Linked DNA regions of Styela clava. The protein of the gene in region 1 interacts with the protein of each later gene in a pairwise test. Links are inferred from orthologs where the notes say so. Each region holds a gene or a part of one and is shown in the gene's direction. Other genes may lie near its edges.

What was found.
Region 2: the proteins of NEDD4-like E3 ubiquitin-protein ligase WWP1 (region 1) and ubiquitin-conjugating enzyme E2-18 kDa-like interact in binary tests that used the Caenorhabditis elegans proteins (3 or more experiments, as listed by UniProt). The link is inferred for Styela clava from reciprocal best matches to the Caenorhabditis elegans genes wwp-1 and ubc-18.

The regions. Positions count from the first base shown.
Region 1 is NC_135262.1:266,991-277,691, reverse strand, and holds the start of NEDD4-like E3 ubiquitin-protein ligase WWP1, read left to right. Parts: upstream 1-5,503; 5' UTR 5,504-5,689; intron 5,690-6,471; exon of another isoform or gene 6,472-6,618; 5' UTR 6,619-8,026; coding exon 8,027-8,075; intron 8,076-8,694; coding exon 8,695-8,845; intron 8,846-9,865; coding exon 9,866-9,990; intron 9,991-10,701. UniProt on the Caenorhabditis elegans protein: E3 ubiquitin-protein ligase which accepts ubiquitin from an E2 ubiquitin-conjugating enzyme in the form of a thioester and then directly transfers the ubiquitin to targeted substrates. Ubiquitinates klf-1.
Region 2 is NC_135253.1:6,114,780-6,124,771, reverse strand, and holds ubiquitin-conjugating enzyme E2-18 kDa-like, read left to right. Parts: upstream 1-5,358; 5' UTR 5,359-5,490; coding exon 5,491-5,517; intron 5,518-6,155; coding exon 6,156-6,248; intron 6,249-6,326; coding exon 6,327-6,513; intron 6,514-7,413; coding exon 7,414-7,568; 3' UTR 7,569-8,388; downstream 8,389-9,992. Other genes in the region: uncharacterized protein LOC120326413, read right to left, coding at 8,961-9,051, 9,510-9,992. UniProt on the Caenorhabditis elegans protein: Ubiquitin-conjugating enzyme E2. Accepts ubiquitin from the E1 complex and catalyzes its covalent attachment to other proteins. Required for diet restriction-mediated lifespan extension, probably acting as part of a complex with ubiquitin-protein ligase wwp-1.

The DNA.
Region 1 (10,701 bases):
ATCAGTTCGAATCAATCAAAAAGCTCTTTATTGTGACATTTGTTCTTCTTGGATACATTTAAAATGTACCAATATTTCTGGACAAAAATATGAAAATCTTGAATCTGAAGCTGATGAAATACCTTGGTGCTGTTTCCTTTGTGAAATAGACTGTATGCCATTCTCTTGTCTCTCTGATTCTGAAATATCTGAGTTATTTGTTCCCCTTCATACAGAAAAAGCTGAAGCCCAGGCACTTGCCAAAATTCTTGATCCTGAATACCTTAAGAAAATGTTTCTTGAATCAGCAAATACTGATACTGATGAATTCAACAACATTGATAGTGTTTTCTTGTACAATTGCTCAAATCAATATATCTGCTCCAGTGATGTCAATGCCCTTAAATTCAACGACAGCCTTAAACTAAGTGGTTTCATGACTCTCTCCATCAATATCAGATCTTTAGCCTCTTTCAAAAACTTCACAAAATTTGAAGCACTAGTTAATTCACTGAATTGTAAGCCTCATGTAATTGCTGTAAATGAAACATGGATTGTATCTGGTACAAATGGCCATTTCAATGCACTGGATGGCTATGTTTTTATCTCTAATAGTAGATCTCATCACCGAGGTGGTGGTGTTGGTCTCTACATTCGAAATGATTTGAAATACATTGTCCGCAAAGATATTACTATAATGTGCGAAAAGGTTTTTGAATCTATATTCATTGACATATCATTGGAAAATAAAACAATAACCTGCGGTACTATTTATAGATCACCACTAAATGATGAATTGAACAATGCTAACTTTCGGAATCTCTTGTCCCAAGTTCTCTCAAAGATGAACAGGTTGAATTATAATTATATAATGGGTGACTTCAACTATAATCTTATTGATGAGTCCAATATGAATACCAGCCTATTTGTTGATATTATGCACAACCTGGCCTATTATTCTTTGATAAACTGCCCCACCAGGATAACTTCAAGTTCTGCTACCTGTATAGACCATATCTGGACAAACGTATATGATAAAAAAATTAACAGTGCTGTTTTAGCAGAATGTGTTTCTGATCATCTGCCGATTGTACAATGCTCTCTTCTAGAAAAGCAAATTCAGACCAGAATTAAAACGCTTTATCGCCAGTTTACTTCGTCCAACTTGAATACGTTTAAGAATGAACTGAATTCTATTGATATTGATGACTTCAGCAGCATCCAGGATCCCAACACTTGCTTTGAAAATTTTTTTGAAAAATTCTCCACTGCTTACTCTCAATCTTTTCCTTACAAAAAACAGACAAACAGATCAAACAAACCTTGGTATGATACTGAGTTACGCAAACTCAACAAAGTCAAACAAAAACTTTATAAGAAATTAATAAACAATAAAAACATAAATGACAAGCACAAATTACAGTTCAATGAATGCAGGAACCTTTATACTCGATTGCTCCACAAAAAGAAATCGAATTATTACAAATCTAAATTTGCTTCTCACAAAGGCAACATCAAGGCAGTGTGGAAAACAATTAATGAGCTTATTGGTAAAAATAAAACAAATTCTTGTCCTTTGATTGGACTTGATTGCAGTAATACACAAACTGCAAATAAATTTAATGAACACTTTTCCCAAGTGGCACAAAGCCTGCTTGACACTGTATGCCACAACCAGCTGGCTGTGACAAAAATTACATTTCATATCTTGGGAAGCAAGAATCCTCATCCATGTTCTTAAGGCCAGCTACATCATTAGAAATAAAAAATATTATACGCGATATGAAGCCCAAGTCAAGTTTTGGAATCGATGGTATTCCATTTAAAATATTGAAATATGTTCCAGAACATATTATTGATATCCTGACATATATATTTAATCTTTCACTATCTAGTGGATTATTCATTGAAAGCTTCAAGACATCCAAAGTTCTTCCTCTGTTTAAAAAAGGTAGTGTTTCAGATCTTGGAAACTATAGACCTATTAGTCTTTTACCATCATTTTCTAAGATTCTTGAAAAAATAATGTATAGTAGAATGTCAAACTACTTTGAAACTAACAATGTTTTCCACTCGCATCAATTTGGTTTCCGCAAGCATCACTCCACTGCTATGGCTGCTAATGTTTTGGTACACAAACTGACCAATGCGTTTGAATGCAAACAACATGCAATTGGAATATTTCTTGATATCTCAAAAGCTTTTGACACCATTGACCATTCCATCCTCTTAAGTAAGCTCTATCACTATGGAATTAGAGGCGTTCCATTCAATTGGATCAAGAGCTACCTTCAAGACAGGAAGCAAATTGTGCAATATGACAACTCATTCTCTACAAATATTTGTGTCATGAAGCACGGAGTTCCACAAGGATCTTTACTTGGCCCATTATTTTTTCTAGCTTACATTAATGACATGTCCAGGTGTCTGAAATCCTCTGAGTCGATCATGTTTGCTGATGACACTAACTTGATTCTTCATGGGGAAAACCTTGAAGATCTATTCACAGTTGCAAACCAAGAACTAACCAACATTCATAGCTGGATGTTAGTTAATAAATTATCTCTGAATGCTAACAAAACTAAATTTGTATTATTCCATCCAAGCAAGCATAAAAGTGTGAGTTGTTCAAAAAAACTACTGCTCAATGGCAATGAAATTGAAAGAGTGAAAGAAATAAAATTTCTAGGAGTTATCTTTGATGAAAATCTGTCATGGAAATCACAAATAATGCATGTTATTGGTAAAACAAAAAGAAACCTAGCAGTTTCTGCCAAAGTATCCCAGTGTGTTGATCAATCAGCTCTACTAGCAATGTTTCAATCATTACTACTTAGCCATATTCGATATTGTTGTTCAGTCTGGCTTCATGGTAATAAAACACTTGTCTCAAAACTGCAGAGTATTTGTAATAATTTTTTAAGAATAGTTTTTGGTAAAAGAAAACATGAAAGTGTAGACTCTTACTTCAAATCACTAAATATACTTAAGGTTGAAGATATGATGAAATTTGAAATACTATCTCTAGCTCACGACTTCCATAATAATGCGCTGCCCAATTGCTTTAATGACATACTTGTCAAAAATACCTCCAACCGAAGAAGTAGTTCTGATTTATTCGTACCTTTCATGAGTAAATCCGTGAGTCAGCATTCCTTGTCTTTTACTGGACCCAAACTTTGGAATTCTCTTCCCTTAAATTTGAAGACGTTTAAGTCCAAAAAATCTTTTCAAAAACAAGTCAAGTCTCATTTAGTTTCCAAATATTAAATATTAAAAATTACTACTGGTGGTATTCGATGACAAAAACTTGGGACACTCCACACTTGCACATTATTGTTTTAATGAAAATGTTGAACAGCTATAATAATATTGTGCCACGACTATAATAATATCTTGCCACGACTTGGCCAGAACTAGTCCAGCACCAAAGAAATGGTATTGTGACATGCATGAGTATATATATATTTTTTTAAATATATAGGTAGCTAACGTACTCGGATGATATTTTCTTTAAATAACTGCACACATTCTATCACTTCACGCTCGTGTTTTTATCTTTTTCTAGCTGTGATGTCCCTATCATACACGCTTGGTCTTATGTTTGAGTGGTGGTATAAGGGTTGTAGATAGTACAATATTGTTCCTGCAAGGTTACTAATTATTGCAACTAGGCGAGCAGTAGAGCTATGTTGGATTCTCCCCTTCAGATTTTAATTTGCTGTGGGTCATTGTAATTGGATGTGGTTTTTATATCATTTATGTATGCATGCGTTTTATGTTAAGGCATGGTGTTTGAGTTGACTTGTTGGCCAAGGTATAGATAGTAAAATTTTGTGTGTTTTTTGCATGGTGTGATAAATTTTTCTCTGTCCCAAGCAGAATGTCATCATAGATCATCTATCCATCGCTATATAATGACAATACATCCCATTTAATTAAACAATTATTTTTTGCCTGTAATAAATAGTTCAGAGCGTTCCCCTTCACCCAATCATTGAAACATCTACTCGCAGTTTTATTTTTTGTTTTTCAGGTTACTTCAAAGTGATTAAATGAAGTAAAACACATACGGAAAAAAACAAAAAAAGACTCCCGATATCCTGTGAAATAACAACCTCATTCCCATATCCTTGTCTGAAATCAATACCCAAGAATGAAAAACCTCACTTAGACCCTTTGTAACCAATTTATTTCCACATCCTACTTTACTTAATTATAGTAATTTTACTGTTACCGGTAACTTAATTACTTATTACAATCTGGACTATAATTTGGCAATAATAGGCTCTAATTTGGGGAATGAAATGGTCTCGCCCACCTCTTCATGCACCCAATTCTGGCAACTTTGGTTGGGCAACTTGGCATTTGACTCCAACTATAATCAGCTTGGCAATATGTTTTCAATAGAATCTTCCTTTTATATACCTAATCAACGATTAGAAGATCGATCAATTTGGCAATGGCAACCATTACAAAAATATCAATATGGTGTGGCAGATAATTTTCTTTTCTAGTATTTTTTATTTTTTTTTTGTTTACTGTATAGTATACCCTAAATTTATCGCGTTTCATTCTTACTTAAATAACTTCTCAGTGGTTGTGTGTGTGTGTGGCTGGTGTGTGCATGTGAGCGTGTGTGAAATAACTTGATAATTTTAGGTGAGTAAACACGTACCACTTCCTCTTGGCAAAACCTTTCATCTTATATTTTGTACGTTATAAACCTTATCTAAGGTTTTGTTTGCTCCCCTGATTTCATAATCAGATTTTATTTATTTGTTTTTATCTGTCAAATGTATTGTTATGCTGATTATGGAGTCGAAATAAACTTATACTTATACTTATACCCTTCGGTACGAGTTAAATATGAAAATCTATCGTATCGTAATTCCAGAATTATGTAGATGAATACAATTCTCGTGACTTTAGCAAGCAACTAACAGCGGGAAAGTTGTTGTCGTGCTATTTGGCTTGATTGACAAAATGTATTTAGCTTGGTGGACAGAATCATTTAGAAATTTGACAAGCAGTTATGCGCTAATCGCTTCTGGAATGATAAAGGGCTGAATGGCGTGAAGAATAGGTTCCCCCTCAAGTTTCATGCACTGTTTCCACCCCCATTGGAGATTAGCGGGACACCTCGTTTTTATAAGGCTGTTCACGTGACTGCGGCCAGTTGGGGCTTTCTTGACCATGAAGTCCACCACGCATCTAAAACTGATTAACTTTTCACATGCCAAAAATGACGGGTAACAGGCGCCCTTTTCCGTTTTATGATTGAGATGCGTTAACGGCTTTCCTGTCGCTGTTGGATAGCACGGTCTATCGCCCGGGTCTCGCCCTAAAATTGAGCCGTTTTATCACCTTTCCTTTCCATAGAATGAGAATATTATTCAAAGATATTAACAAGTAAACCACTTTCTGAAATTTCGTCATGCGCTAATGATTCAATTTATTCATGTGACCGACGTCATAAAGCAAACTTGTCAGCTGGGGAGCGATGCCAATTTCTTACGAAACAGTGAAAGGTTGGAAGCGGGGGCTTGTTTTTGTAAAAAAGATCACAAATTAATGTGTTTTTATACATTTGTGAGGTTAAACATGAATGGTATCTACTAATTTTCCGCATTTATTGTGTATGTTATGTAAATAAAAGACATGAGCTAACCATGTAACCGGAACAGGATGTTGTCATATTTACGCACAGGTAATCGTATGATTGTCTTTTCACTTTTAACTTTCCTGACTTTCATTGTTTGGTTTTGAGTTCTGCCCTGTTTCAGCTCATTTCTGTTAAGTGGATAAAAACTATTCAAGATTTTTAGCAATATTTCATAAAAATACGGTACCTGTACTGTAATCCGGGATAAATATGTAAATCCTATCCTAATACCGGTGCAGTACGGTGATCAGATAATGCTGTAATGTGACACAGCCAGACAGCGGGTCTGCCTGTAGACGGTGTAGAAGTCAGACTTCAGGACGTTAATAGAACATTGCACAGGACAGTTGACTGACATAATTATGATATTAAATTGAATGAAGCAGAAATTCATTTGGTTTATGATAAGTCTATTGATAATAAAAAGCACAGCTCAGACAGCTCGGAATCTGAAAATCTCGTTTTTAGGTTTTATGACATAACAGAAATTTATTTATGCATTAAGATTTGTCAGTCAGTAGTAGTAGTTTGCTATCGAGAGAGAGATTAATTATTTGTCAACAATAAAAAACATAAATACATAAATATGATGATAATAATAATAAATATAAAGCAGTAGAAACAACGTTTCTCGGTATGAATTGGCTGACTGGAGCAAGCGATACGACCATGCGGTCATCAGAGTCAGCTCTCTCCATGTTCGCCCCAATTGAAATAAGTTCACAGTAAAAATATTTATTAATATAAAGTGGTTATAAATTCTAGAATTCTACGTGTAGCTATTTGTAACCCTGAATATAAATTTTTTATTTTTTTTTTAATTCTACTAGCTTTTCTCTTTTTCCTTTCTACGCCAAAATTGATCAAGACAAGAGTTAAGATAAATATTACAGTATGGCACAATTTACAGATCGAGCAACATTTCAGTTTCAGAAGATTCCATTTTACCGATGAATACTGACCCTTCCTTTCAGGAACGTCGGACTCCTTCTTTCAGGAATGTCAGACCTTCCCTTTCGGGAACAAACTATAAAGAAACGCAACTTCAAACCACCACCATTGGATTTCTCGGAAATAACAATCTGATCTACTGAAGGAAAAAAAAATTACCGAAGCGTTTGAGAGAAATGCAAAAACTATAGGCGTGTAACCGAGCTCCGATGATGTCACCGAATTTTAATTGACGCATCCAATCTCATATCTGGCTTCCATCGTTGCACAACCTTGGCTTGGCTTGTTCCTCGTGTCTACGAGCTTTTATTTTCATTATAGACAGGATGACATGTTTATGATAACACATAGATGAGAGATAATAAAAATTACATTTTGATCAACACAATATAGGCTCTTATCACATGAAATAAACATAATAAAAGATATATACTACTGCAATATGTGACGCTCAGGTTAAAAATTACTCAGGTCAACAATATATCATACATCAAAACGAAGCACGAAATCAATGATATGTTCGTCAGTCTGTCCATACATGATAACAATTGAACAATGCATCTTTGGGTTTTTTTCATGATAGAAACTCACAACGGATTATGATACCATCTGTCATGGCGATTTTTATTTAAATTTTGACACGAACAATCTATACTAAAATATCAAAGTGAATGCCTCGATGCGAGAGTCGTTCTGTATGTGACATTCTGTGATGTATATCCAGGCACGCATTAAGCTTTCTGCACACTCAAAGCCCCCTGTTTTAAAGACGTGCATGCATTTTACATCTCACGCATTAAGCTTTCTGCCCACTCGAAGCCCCCTGTTTTAAAGACGTATATGCATTTTACATCTCACGCAATAAGCTTTCTGCCCACCCGAAGCCCCCTGTTTTAAAGACGTACATGCATTTTACATCTCACGCATTAAGCATTCTGCCCACTCGAAGCCCCCTGTTTTAAAGACGTGCATGCATTTTTTGATGTTCCAATTTATAGCCGCTATTCTGGAATCAGAGAACTATGTTTAACCATAATATGGCAACCCACGTTAATGTTGGGTATAGGATTAGTTAGCTAGTTATTTGTTTCATACTCATGGACTTGATGGCAACAGAAGTCGTAACCGTATGTGAACCACCCTACGACGGTGAGGAGTCCAGCAATCCTCTGCAGACGTAATCATCCCCCGAGAGATTTGGACCTGAGAAATCACACATGTAGACAGTGAATGTATTCCTAATGGTCAGCACAACATACTATATTTTCAGTCTGTATTTTCTTTGCTCTTTTCAATTAACTTCATGGTTTTACAGATAACTTAATTAAGTGGGATAAATCTAAAATATGTAAGATACCAAAATGAATGAAACACCAGGCTGAAAACAACCACAGTATCAGAGGTGTTGTGACATCATAATAAACAATAACTATGCAGACTAATGGACCTCAAGCGTCACTTTCACAACTTCAAGTGACAGGTATGATTGATTTTTTTAAATTTTTTTGTTATATTTTTTATATCTAAGGCATGCTTTCAAACACTCAGTACGAAGCAGAGCTGGGGAACTGGTTCGAAATTACTGGCTTTAGTTCCGAAATCAAGAGTATTTGTAGAATATACTTATACCCAATTTCTGGAATTATTCAACTCTGAAACTTAGTGAATGTTGTTGTTGCATGCCATCCTATTGACTGACTTGTAAAAATAAATTTTGGGTTGAAGCATCTCTGTGGAAATTATGAACCTTTTTTTAAACTGTGTCTTTTCTGACTGATTTCAGTGTTTGATGTTAGCAAACATTTGTAGGTGACTGTGGTCTACCGATATCCGTATTTCGAGCGATGTACCACCTGATATTAAATCTTTATTTACTCTGGCATTTTAATATTACAAGTGAAATACAAAAATCGAATATTTCAAATTTTTTTTATGTGCATTCATTAAAATTGCATCTGGTAAAGCCTTCATTACTCCTACTTCTACATATTCAGGAGTTGTTTTTGTGTATGGGCGCAGAGTCTTCTGTTGTCAAAAATGATTCCTACCCCCACTCCCCCTCTAACCAACTTGTACTATTCATTATTTAAAATTTTCAGTGAAAAGCGGGGTCCTTCATCCAAAAGGATGGTTTGGTACGATCAAAGTAGTGGATTCGTACGTTACTGTACGTCTCGATGGGGAACCTCCCAAGAAAACACAGATCATCAGTAAATCTAACAATCCACAATGGAATGAACCGTTTACCTTGTAAGTATGCCTATATCCAAAAACTCATTTTATTTTATGAAAGAAACTCTAGAGGCCACGTTTATGCAGCTAGAGCTGATGAAATACAAGTAAAAAATAGACATATTCTCTGGTCTAGATCAGTGTATCCCAACCTATGAGTCGCCTGAAAATTTTCTCGCTTCGTTTGTATTTTCTACAAAAACCTAGAAGTTACTGCTTTTATTTTCTAGTGAATTTTATTGTTTATTTTATTTTTTCATTGAAGTGTTGCTCGATAGTAATTGTATATGGAGAAATTTCACATCATGTGCTGTTATTAGTCGGTCAAATAATTTAGTGACAGATGAAAGCATAAGCATTATACACGGCCTAGTATTTAAGCATATTCATGAGTTGTGAGATTTTATGGAATTTTCAAAAATTTGACTTGCCTGAAAAAAACTTAGGAACCAGGATTCCATGGAATCCTATAGTTCCTATATCCTATAGTGGAATCCTATCCCGCGAAACACTTATTGTGAAAGTTTCTTGTGTATGGGTGGACGCATTTATGTGTGTCAATTTTTCAAACCTTTTTATATGTTTTGCATCAACAATAATTAGGAATAAAAACACAAGTCTTGTGAGTAGTGTGTCTGAGACCATAAGGATTGCATTGTGCAACATGAAGCCACGAGGTTAAAATGCTTGGGAGAGAAATCCAAGAGCAGGAGGGTCATTTCTTGCATTTTATCATGTTGGGGCGTCCAACACCGAAATATTTGACTTCATAATAGATATTGGTGTTTTTTATAAAAGGGGATCCCACGGTAAGTCCAATTGCATGTCATGTGTATCACAAGACTTTAAAAAGGTTGAAGGGCACTTCTTTTGATAACAGAAATTTTGCTGATATTGACTTGTCTAATCAGTGGTGTAGCCATAGAGGGTTGCAATCCCTCCTCCTTTTTTTTGAAATTTAAAAAAAGGTATTTTTCTGTATCATACATAGGGCACTGATATGGACCAAATTTCATTGTTATTCATTTCTATTCCTAGACTAGTGAAGCCGACATCAATGATAGAATTCAAAGTATTCAGCTACAGTTCATTGAAGACCGACACAATCTTAGGATCGGCCACGCTGAGTGTGTTGGATATATTGAAAGAGAACGGAGGCAAATGTACGTTTGGGAAATCTATTTTATATGATTTAAGAGTCTTGCGGCGTACTAACACAAATGTACTTCTGTAATTTTACAGAACTTGCTTAACATTTGATACTCCTGTAGTGTGTGTAGCCTACCAGGTTAGGGTTCGGCCATATTTTTATTCAGATATCCTTTATTTTAGTTCTATTACGAGTTCAGAGAATGTCTGTGTTAGCCAAGTGAATATCCCTCTGTCCATAGGCTTCCGTTCCTTTGTACAACTTGATTTAAAGTAGGCGAACATAATTAGCTGCCTCCATATTGGTACACGTACTTCTGGAGCACCTGAGATTTCGCTTAGGTTAAGACATGTTCATTATGGTCTAGTGCAGTTCTCAACCTTTTTAGTGTTATTGCCAAATTTTAAACCCTAAAGTTGTAAGGAGCCGCATAAAAAACAACGCGAATCAAATTAGCAACAAAACAAAACTCAAGTTTGTATTTTAAAATAACAACATCAACAAAACTCGCGCTAAAAACCAATTCAACGCTAAAATTGAGATCAGCTTTAGTAACTTTTAAATTCTAAAGTCTGAAAAGCGAGTCGCAGTTTTGATGAATTTTTCGAAAATACCCAAGTTTTGCACAGTGTAAGGGGCACAGCGTTTGACTACTGGAAACAATGAAATCGGTGTACTGAAACATGGCTAAACATTGTGGGAAAACACTATGACATCATAATAA
Region 2 (9,992 bases), on another chromosome or scaffold:
TATGATATTTCTGATCATTTCCCCCTTTTGGCTCATATACATCTAGCATGTCAGAGGTCCCAGATTAAAATAAGGAGACGCGACTTTAGTAATTTTAACTCTGAACACTTTATTGATCATTTAAGTTCTGTAGTAGAAAGAGATGTTGATAAAACATCCTACGATATAAACAAAAAATTCGATTCTCTTATTAATGTGATCAAATCTGTAGTTGATAATCATGCTCCATATAAGACTGACTTGAAGAAACGCAAGTTTAAGCTTAAACCATGGATTTCCATGGATCTTTATAAGTCCATCAAAACCAAAAATAAGATGTATAATAGATGCTGCATGAGCAAATGTCAAGTAGAAATAAAAAAATACAAGAAGTATAGAAATGCGTTATGTAGGACTCTCACAAGAGCCGAACAAGAATATTATAAAAACATATTTTCTCAACACCAAAAAGATATTGCAAAAACATGGACCGAAATTCGCAAAGAAATTGGTAATTATTCCAAGGTTAACAAACTACCACCTTATATTATAAGTGATGGTAAGAAAATTTCTGATGATACTGGCATTTGTGCTGCCCTGAATCATCATTTCCTAAGAGTTGGTCCAATGCTTGCGTCAAAAATAAGTCCAGCTGTGAACAGCCACATGCATACTCTTGGACCAAGCATCAGTGAATCATTTTTTCTTCGTGATACCACACCACTGAAAATTGAAAAACAAATAGATAAATTAGATAGTAATAAAGCTGTAGGTAGTGATGATATACCAGTGAAAATGTTCAAAATCGCCAAGCTTGTTTTATCACCAATTTTATCCTCTCTTTTTAATCAAAGTTTTACAGATCATGTGTATCCAGATATACTGAAAATAGCTAAGGTGATCCCGCTCCATAAGAAAGGGTCTAAGCATGATCCGAATAATTATAGGCCAATCTCCCTGCTATCACAAATTGCCAAGATTTATGAAAAAAATTTATATCATCGTCTCAAATATTATTTCGATAAACATGAAACTTTGAGCCTTTCCCAGTTTGGTTTCCGAAACAACTATTCAACTGAGCTAGCCATAGCACGGCTCAAAGAAATGATAATAGAAAATAAGGCCAATAACAAGATCACATGTGCCATCTTTTTGGATCTTGCGAAAGCTTTTGATACTGTTAACCACCAAATTTTACTAGATAAGTTATATCATTATGGCATTCGAGGAAAGGCATATCATCTTATTGCATCATATTTAAGTGGCCGCAAACAATATGTCCAATATGGGGATTGTATCTATGAAATGGGCCTTATTGAATGTGGGGTACCCCAGGGTTCCACGATTGGCCCGCTGTTATTTCTATGCTACATAAACGATCTATCTTTGGCATCTACTTTTCATTCGACATTATTTGCCGATGATACTTCTCTGCTAAAATCAGCATCCTGTAGTTTAGAACTCCAAACTGTGGTGAATCATGAACTCCAGAAGGTCGATAATTGGCTTAAAGCGAACAAATTATCCCTAAATTATTCAAAAACAAAATTTATGTTGTTCTGTGATAAAAAGTATGGTATTTCCACATTTAGAGTTGGCATTGGCAGCAACATTATAGAACAAACAAAATCCAAGAAATTATCGCAAACTCTTGGAATATTTTACAGGTTAAGGCATATTTTGAAATCTAAAACACTTAAATTAGTATATTTTAGTCTATTTCACTCACGTCTGCAATATGGTCTGCTAAGTTGGGGCTCAGCATCAAGGTCTTCCTTACAGCCAGTTCATGTTTTGCAGAATAAAGATTTACGATGTATGGCAATTGCAGAGAAAGTTCGTGTAACTAATTTGCAGCTCTACTACCAGTATGAATTCCTACAGCTGTCTGATATACATACGCCAGAAATAGCAAAGTTCATGCATCGGTATTATTTCACCCCATTAAAAAAAGTGCACAATTACTGCACCAGGTCTCAAAGAAACAAGGTTTTCTTTACTCCACAAGTGTCCACTGAGGTGGACAAAACATCTTTGAAGTATATGGGTGTACAGGTCTGGGGCAATGTTCCACCTGAAACTAAAAAAAGTTCTGTGCATGTTTTCAGTAAGAAACTGAAAAAATATTTCCTACTGAAATATTCTAACTTGTCCTAATATCTGTAGTTTAATTAATATGCCTTTAGAACTGTGTTGAAAACTGCATTATATAAATTACTACATTACTATAAATTTAACTGTTTCATATAAACACTGCACACTGAGGGTCATAGCCTTTTTTCCAACTCATGTATGTATATAGGTAATAAAATTGCTGTCCTCTTTTCTTTCATTGGCATCAATTTGATGATTTCTATGTTCGACTTTAAAACCCATTGTTATTGATATTTCTATCTTATGATTGGCTCATTGTTATTTTCATTTCTCCATGTAATTGAGTATAAAATCTTGCTCCCTTGATCCATATAGTACTGCCTAATATACTGTAATTACCTTTTTTATGTCATTGGAAGTTATTGTGGTATTACTGATGAACTGCATAGTTATTGCGTATTTAATTGTGGATCACATATTAATATTCTAGTTCCAAGTATGCATAAATACTTATAAATGATAGTAGCCCATTTGTTAATTAATTTAATAACCTTTATATATTGTGAAAAAGTGATTAACTGCAATAATAATTGCATATTTAATTGTTCATATTTAACTGTGGATCATATATTACCTACTATTCTATTTCAAAAGTATGTATTAATACTTAAGAATGTTGGTAGCCACTTTTAATTCAATAACCTTTTTATATCGTGAACTAATTAAGGTGTCAAACGAGAGTATCGGTCGGAGACCAAAGACTTATCGATCAAAACTGCGGTTTCGATTCATGACTCTATAGTGACACCGTGTGTCCAAACACCAATTAATTAATAGCTCCCTAATTATACGACATAACTCTACCAAAATCAATAGCCATATGGTCCGTGAAATGATGAACGCACATGCAAAATTGGATTGGGTGGAGATTAAACCCCGCTTTCTTGAGATATCGCTTGCATCTAACAGACAGACAAACAGACAAAGATCGATAAACAAGATCGACAAGTAATGATATTTTTTTACATCATGCACTCGGTCTATTACTGAATCTGTGATAATATTATTTTTCATCCTCCGTATTCATTTTTGATCCCGGTCTGTGTCCAATAACAAAAAATATGCTTTTCGTGAAAATTTTTTCATTGGACATCTCCGGCTTCAACCAACACATGACCTCTCTAAATCCTAAATTGCCCTTAGTAACTTCCATAATACCATTAAATTGCCGACTCGTTTCCCTTTATCCTCGTATTCATTTTTTATATATTTATATTTAATCTCATTTGTATTCACCTATGATGAACTTATATATAGCACTAGATGACTTTAATCGGTCTTGCACACCGACCCGCACAAAGCAATAATCAATTACTGTGGAATATTTTCGTTATTGTAGTATGTTTATATTAGTGTTGATTTTGTTTTTGTGGCAATAAATCTCTCTCTCTCTCTCTCTCTAATCCACAAATATCTTCAGATCATCCCACGGCGAAATTCGGAAGGCCCATCCACTCGCCAACGTTATAAATATTTCACGGTGGACTATAGCTGAAAAATATCAGACGGTGGTTTGTCATGTTGAAAAGGCTAAGTTAGAAGAAAGAAAAAACTGGAACGGTGAAATTTTAGTTTCAACCCCCCAAAACCAATTTCACCTCATAGCTTGCGTCGCTCTACCCGTCCGCTGTCTGTTTGCGGGGACGTTGTAACTCACCGAAGGGCGGATTGAAACATCAAACCGCGGACAGGATTCCGAATATAGTATTAGTGTGAGAGCTGATTTTCCACTGTGCCCCATGTCCCAACGTGCCCCATCTTCCCTACCTACTTTTTGCAACATTGTCAATCACTCTTCTCTGGGTATTTCTCTATTTTATTTCTGCAATTGCAGCCTTGAGTTCCCCAATCGTTTATGGATTGTCTTTCGAACACCCTACATATCAAAACCTGAGAGAATTCAGTCCGATAATTAAGGAGCCTACTGAATGTCATTGCTGACTTTTCTCTCAGGACAGCAAGCGTCTGATTTGATGTATGGGTGGTCATGCTGGAACCATCGCTGGTCATCTCTATCAATCCTTCCCACGTATTGTTCTGTATTCACACCGTTTGAACCCTTTCATTTCCATGTCCTGGCAGCAGAAGGTGCGCTCCAGCAGAAAACTAAGTGAGTGGTTGAAAATTTTGCAAAACTTCTGTATAATTATAGGCAAACAGAAGTTCAAGTTCAAAACTAAATGATTTTTTTGGAAATAGTTATGAAATTTTTGGTTTCCGTTTCTAAATAACCCGAACGAACATGCACCATTACCATTGAGTTTATACTTTCAAACCCATGTTCAGTCTTTCATTGTTCTATTTTTTGGCAACAGAATCAAATTGAAATATCCTCACGTGTGAGATCTGGTCGAAATTTTTTTATTGCTCGTGACAGCTCATTCTTGGTAGAGCGCGCAGTGACCGTACTTTTACATATCAAGAGAGATTCCCTTGACAATGCCAGACAAGACTAAAGACTGTTTTTGACTGAAATGGAGCCAGATATTTCGCTATGCTCAAACCTTCACATTATACTAATGTTAAATGGAGAATAATGTTGTTTGACTTTTTTGTCAGGAGGGGGGGAGGGGCGCTTGCTAGTTAAAAAGTCGTCCAAGGGGGCGCTGGCAGAAAAAAGTTTGGGAAACACTGCTATAGATGGTCAACATCATTATCTTTCTCTGTGGAAAGACATCCATCCATTTCGGCATCAGTTAGTAGCAACGACTAACATACAGTCGAATAACTATCATTATGATGTAACTATGGTATGACAAGAAGATTTTTTCTGGGGTGAAAGGTTAAAGAAAAAGCTCGGTTGTACCTCAGGCTTTGGTTTAGTGCGTTTAATGGAGCTTCAGCACAGGAAGTTCCGTCACTTCGGGAGGTTTGTTCCTAGTACAGACAGTGAAACATTTGCATGTACGGTATAGGATAAGATTCACATATTTATCTCGGGGGTAGTGGCGCATCGGTGCTAAGCGTTAGGAGGAACACGCTTACCACCGCACCTCTGATTACCGTATCATGCGTGGGTACAAATCCCTTGCTTGAGGGTGGTTCACGTACCGGTACTGCGGTTCGGTAACCGCTAGTCGGTTTAGGCTTCCTTCATCATCAAGTCCATGCGTCTGAAACAGATACTGGTAGGTACCGTAATTGGCTAACCAGCCTAACCCCCATACCGGTACCGGTACCCAACATGGGCTGGAAACTGGTTGAGAGACCGTGGTTTGCCATATGAATAATCCGTCTTATCGGCTTTACTCTCCCCGGGATAAATATGGAAATTCTATTTTAGATATACCTCCTACTCTAGAATACAGGAATATAGCCTAGATTAAAGTTAATTGCTATAGTCTGACATTCAGCAAAATGTCTGCATCAAAAAGATTAGCAAAAGTGAGTATAATATTTCAAAAGTGTAATTATTCAGCCTTTGTCTGAATTAATGCAGGGAAATGTGATTACATGGATTATGACTGTAATAACGTCATTGCAATGTTAATTGTTGTATGCCAGTAACAGAGTTATGGCATGTCAGTATGTTTCATCGACTCCTGATGACAGGGTTCCATAATTTTCTGTATGCTGTATTTTTGGCGCTACAGAAGTATGTGTACCAATATGGAGGTAACAAATTTTGTTTGGGTACTTTACATCAAGTTGTGTAGCCTATGGGCAAGGGGGTATATTCACTTTGCTAACACAAACAGTCCCTGAACTCGTAATAGAACTAAAATAAGGAAAATCAGAATAAAATTATGGCCTAACCCGGTACACATACTACAGGAGTACTGTATTTTTAATATTGATAAGCCATATTCAGCATATTAGTGTATAATTTATGCCCTCATCTTTATGAAAAATTGAGTTGGTTACAAAAATCAAATCAGTATAATTTTTGCTATGAGGCTCTTAGTTTCTAATTTGATTAATCACAAGTTAATGTATTTTTTGTTCATCATTCAAATTGAGCATTACTCAGCTATTCAATTTGTGCGGCACATAAAAAAACTTGTTGACATCTTGATTTTCAGGAATATCAAGATATTAACAGTGACAAAGACAAAAGGCTTGAAGTAAAATTAGACGATTCAAACGCCTTACTTTGGAGGATCCTTCTTCTGCCGGTATATTTAATATTTTACAGTACTTGTTTATTAGATTTAAAAAGTAACAGTTGAAAACATTTTAAATTGTATTTTTAGGACCAAAGTCCATACAATAAAGGGGCTTTCAAGATAGAAATCAATTTTCCATCATCATACCCATTTAAACCACCAAAAATAACATTCAAAACAAGCATCTACCACCCCAATGTTGATGAGAAAGGTCAAATATGTCTTCCTATAATCAGCCCAGAACACTGGAAACCAGCAACAAAAACTGCACAGGGTAAGTTGTTATATTGCCATAAAAATTCAAAGGCGTTCTGGCTAATTCATCAAGCAGAATTTTGCTTGAATTTCACAACTGCATTTCCTGCTACAGATATTGTTTCATCATGTTATCTAATTGCATAGAAATTCATTGTGTAAAAGAGATGTCAGTATATTTGGCAGATTTATGTTGTTTCAAAATTTGTTTCATTTACTATCACCTATTACTGTATTATATTTTTATCAAACTAAATACATTTGTTAACTTGCCAATAAAATTGTTGGTTAGTGGTAGAATTTGTATCTGGGCAGAAAGCTTCCACTCAAATTCCCCCCCCCCCCCTTTACATAGCAATTTTTATAGACCCTCAAGATTTTGGAAAATGAATGTTTTCTGGCCGGACCACCTGGCTACGCTCCTGTGTACAATATTATATTATTGTTAACATTTCATAAACTAAGAATGACTACAAAATAAATTGATTTAATATTATCAATGGACTAAAGATCGAATAAAGTTGGTAGAAAAAAAAAATTCAATGGATTCATCGAATATCAGAAAATTTAATTTTCGTAACAGTTCGTTTGACCTCTAAAATTCATACACCTGATAAATGATAGTTAAATATGCTCTAGTACCGTTTGCGTCAACGATTTTAAAAGTAGCAGCCATGATGTTGATATAATATTCGTACCTAACTTTATTTAGTCGAACAAAATCATTCCTCTAAACGGTGGCCCACATGTAATATAACAACGCAGGAGTGTTAAACTTTTCTCCAACAGCTTATAGTGCTCTGGTCCCTCTCAGACTATGATTGGGTGTCTAACTCATAACTTGGTATTACAATAACAAAATAGGGAAATTTAATTATATGCCTTGAATATTTATGATTGGCTTATGCATTTCCTTCAGTTCTGCAAGCTCTGCTTCACATGATTGAACACCCAGAGCCAGAGCACCCACTGAGAGGAGAGCTTGCTGAAGAGTACACGAAAGATCGAAAGAAATTTAATAAAAATGCGGAAGCTCATACAAAGAATAATGCCGAAAAGCGGCCGTCATGTTAATATTGTAAGAAAATCTAAGCACTTTTGATTCCAGTAATGTTCAGACTGGCTAATAGATTTCAATTAGTCCTTAATGATGTGTTTTGTACATTTGCTTGATATACTCTTATTTTTAACTTATGAGCTTTCATCACTATCCAAATACCAACCAGTAGGGTTAGAAGGATCACAAAGTCACCTAAATTTACCTTTTGTTTCTTTATCTCAAAGAAAGTTTAGTATGTAATAGTCGTGCGTTTCAATTCCATTTTGTATATCAGACCCATGTATGGGGTAATCCTACATTTCAGCTTTGCATAGGTAATTTGGAATTTTCATTTGTTTTTATACTCGATCATTTGAAGCAAAAGATTTAGTCAAATTGAGTTCTGATAAATGAACGAGCCCGCAAAACCCTTAAGCTCGATGGATTAGGTTACTACACATTTTGATCTGAACAGCACAGCTTTGTCGAATGATTGGTTCTACCGTATTAAATTGACAATCTGTGTAACCACATTATACTTCCTGAAAATCACTATCTTGGAGTTTAAAATATCAAGAACATCATACAAAACCAAAATCGTACAATTTTATTATGCATATTTTACAATGATTTGATCCTAGCCCTATTCTGTGATTGTTCTCTTGCTTCAGTAATTTTTTTTTCTTGCTCATTGTAGTAATATAACTTTCCTACATTGAAACTTTCTGTGTTTACGGCGAGTCAGGTGACTATGAATAATTCAAGAAAAAGACATATTTTCCTATTCCGCTTGGGTGAATATGATGAAATACTCTCTCTAAAGCATTAAAATAAACTTTTTATTAGACGAGAATATGAAGATTTTTTACGGGACAGCAGTGTTGACATGTTCATGTGTTTGCATTGTGGCAGAGAAGCCTATTTTATTAAGCAGTGAGACTGCAATCCACAGGATAGTATTGAGATAATTCGATTCCATGACCCGTTATTTGTCATGTAATGCAAGGCTTGATTAGATAATCATATGCTGTTGTGAAGAGAACTCTATAGTTGACAAGGACAATCATGAAATAGGATTATAATATCGCAATCAAAATTCATTGTAAAAAAATTCAAAAAGTGCAAAGCTTTCAATCAATATGCTGAAATCAACAACACACTCCACTAAACCAAATTTAAACAAATACACATGCAAGATTTTTGAATGAAAAAAATCTCCTGTGTCTATATTATTGATACAGTTGTATGAGATGGGTGTATTTGAGATCAATTTACTACCTTAGTAGGATATAGTCTGTGGGCTCATGCCACGATTGGGCCCAGCTCAAACCCAGTTCCAGATTCTGCTTTTTTTCATTGCTTGCACTTTGATTTACAGAAAAAATAGACATAGAACAGTGTATATAGTTAAATTTGAAGAATTCATTTCAGCCATACTGCAAGTCATCTGCTATATCATTCCTTCCAGAACGTCTCATTGCCTCAATTAATTTAGCAACAGATGCCTCGTCATCAGATCTGTCGAAAATAAAAGTCGTTATTCTCAGTCGTGTAAATTACTCCATGGCAGTTATATAATACATATATGGTAGTAAAATAAAATCCCTCATAATGGAATAAGAAATTACAGTAACACAGTAGCTTTTACTCAAAAGTTTGTGGATATGCACCTTTTTCAGTTTCCTTTCATCACAAGAATTTGGACAACTGCATGTCATCATCAGTGGCATAACTTATATCAAAAATGGTAGGTCTTAAATGTAATTTTCAAATCGAAAGTAAAAAAGGATTTTTTCTGAAAGCAAATGATATTAAATCAAAATTATCAAAAATGTATAATCTTCTACCTATGACTCCAATAATTTTACATTGATTTTCCTGCACTTTGTATGTATACATTATAATGTATCTAATGGCTGTCTAAGAGCTATTGATTTAAAAATTAATGTTGTGTGCATTACTGCATATATATTTACCTCGCCCAATATGTGAAAGCTTCTCTTATTTGATTTCTTACATTCCTGGGCCAATTGTCTTGAGCACTATCTATGATAACATCGGGGACACCGAGATGCCTGGCTGCACTCTGCCATCCCCTAGCTATCGAACTAATTACCAGTTCAAGAGCAGTTTCCACTTGAGGAGGAATGGCATGACCTATTGGGTTTAACTGACTACGATTACCCATCATTGGGTCTGCCTGGTGAGTGTTTGACTGATTACGATTATCCATCATTGGGTCTGTCTGGTGAGTGTTTGACTGATTACGATTACCCATCCTTAGGGCTGCTTGGTGAGTATTTGACTGATTACGATTACCAGTCATTTGATTGTGATTCGAACTGGGCTGCTGGTGTTGGGGAACATTTGAAGATGTATCAAAAGGTCTTGTACAATTCTGTCTTTCATTGACGGCGCTGTATGTACCATGAGAAATATCAGTCTTTTGGGGTCCTTTT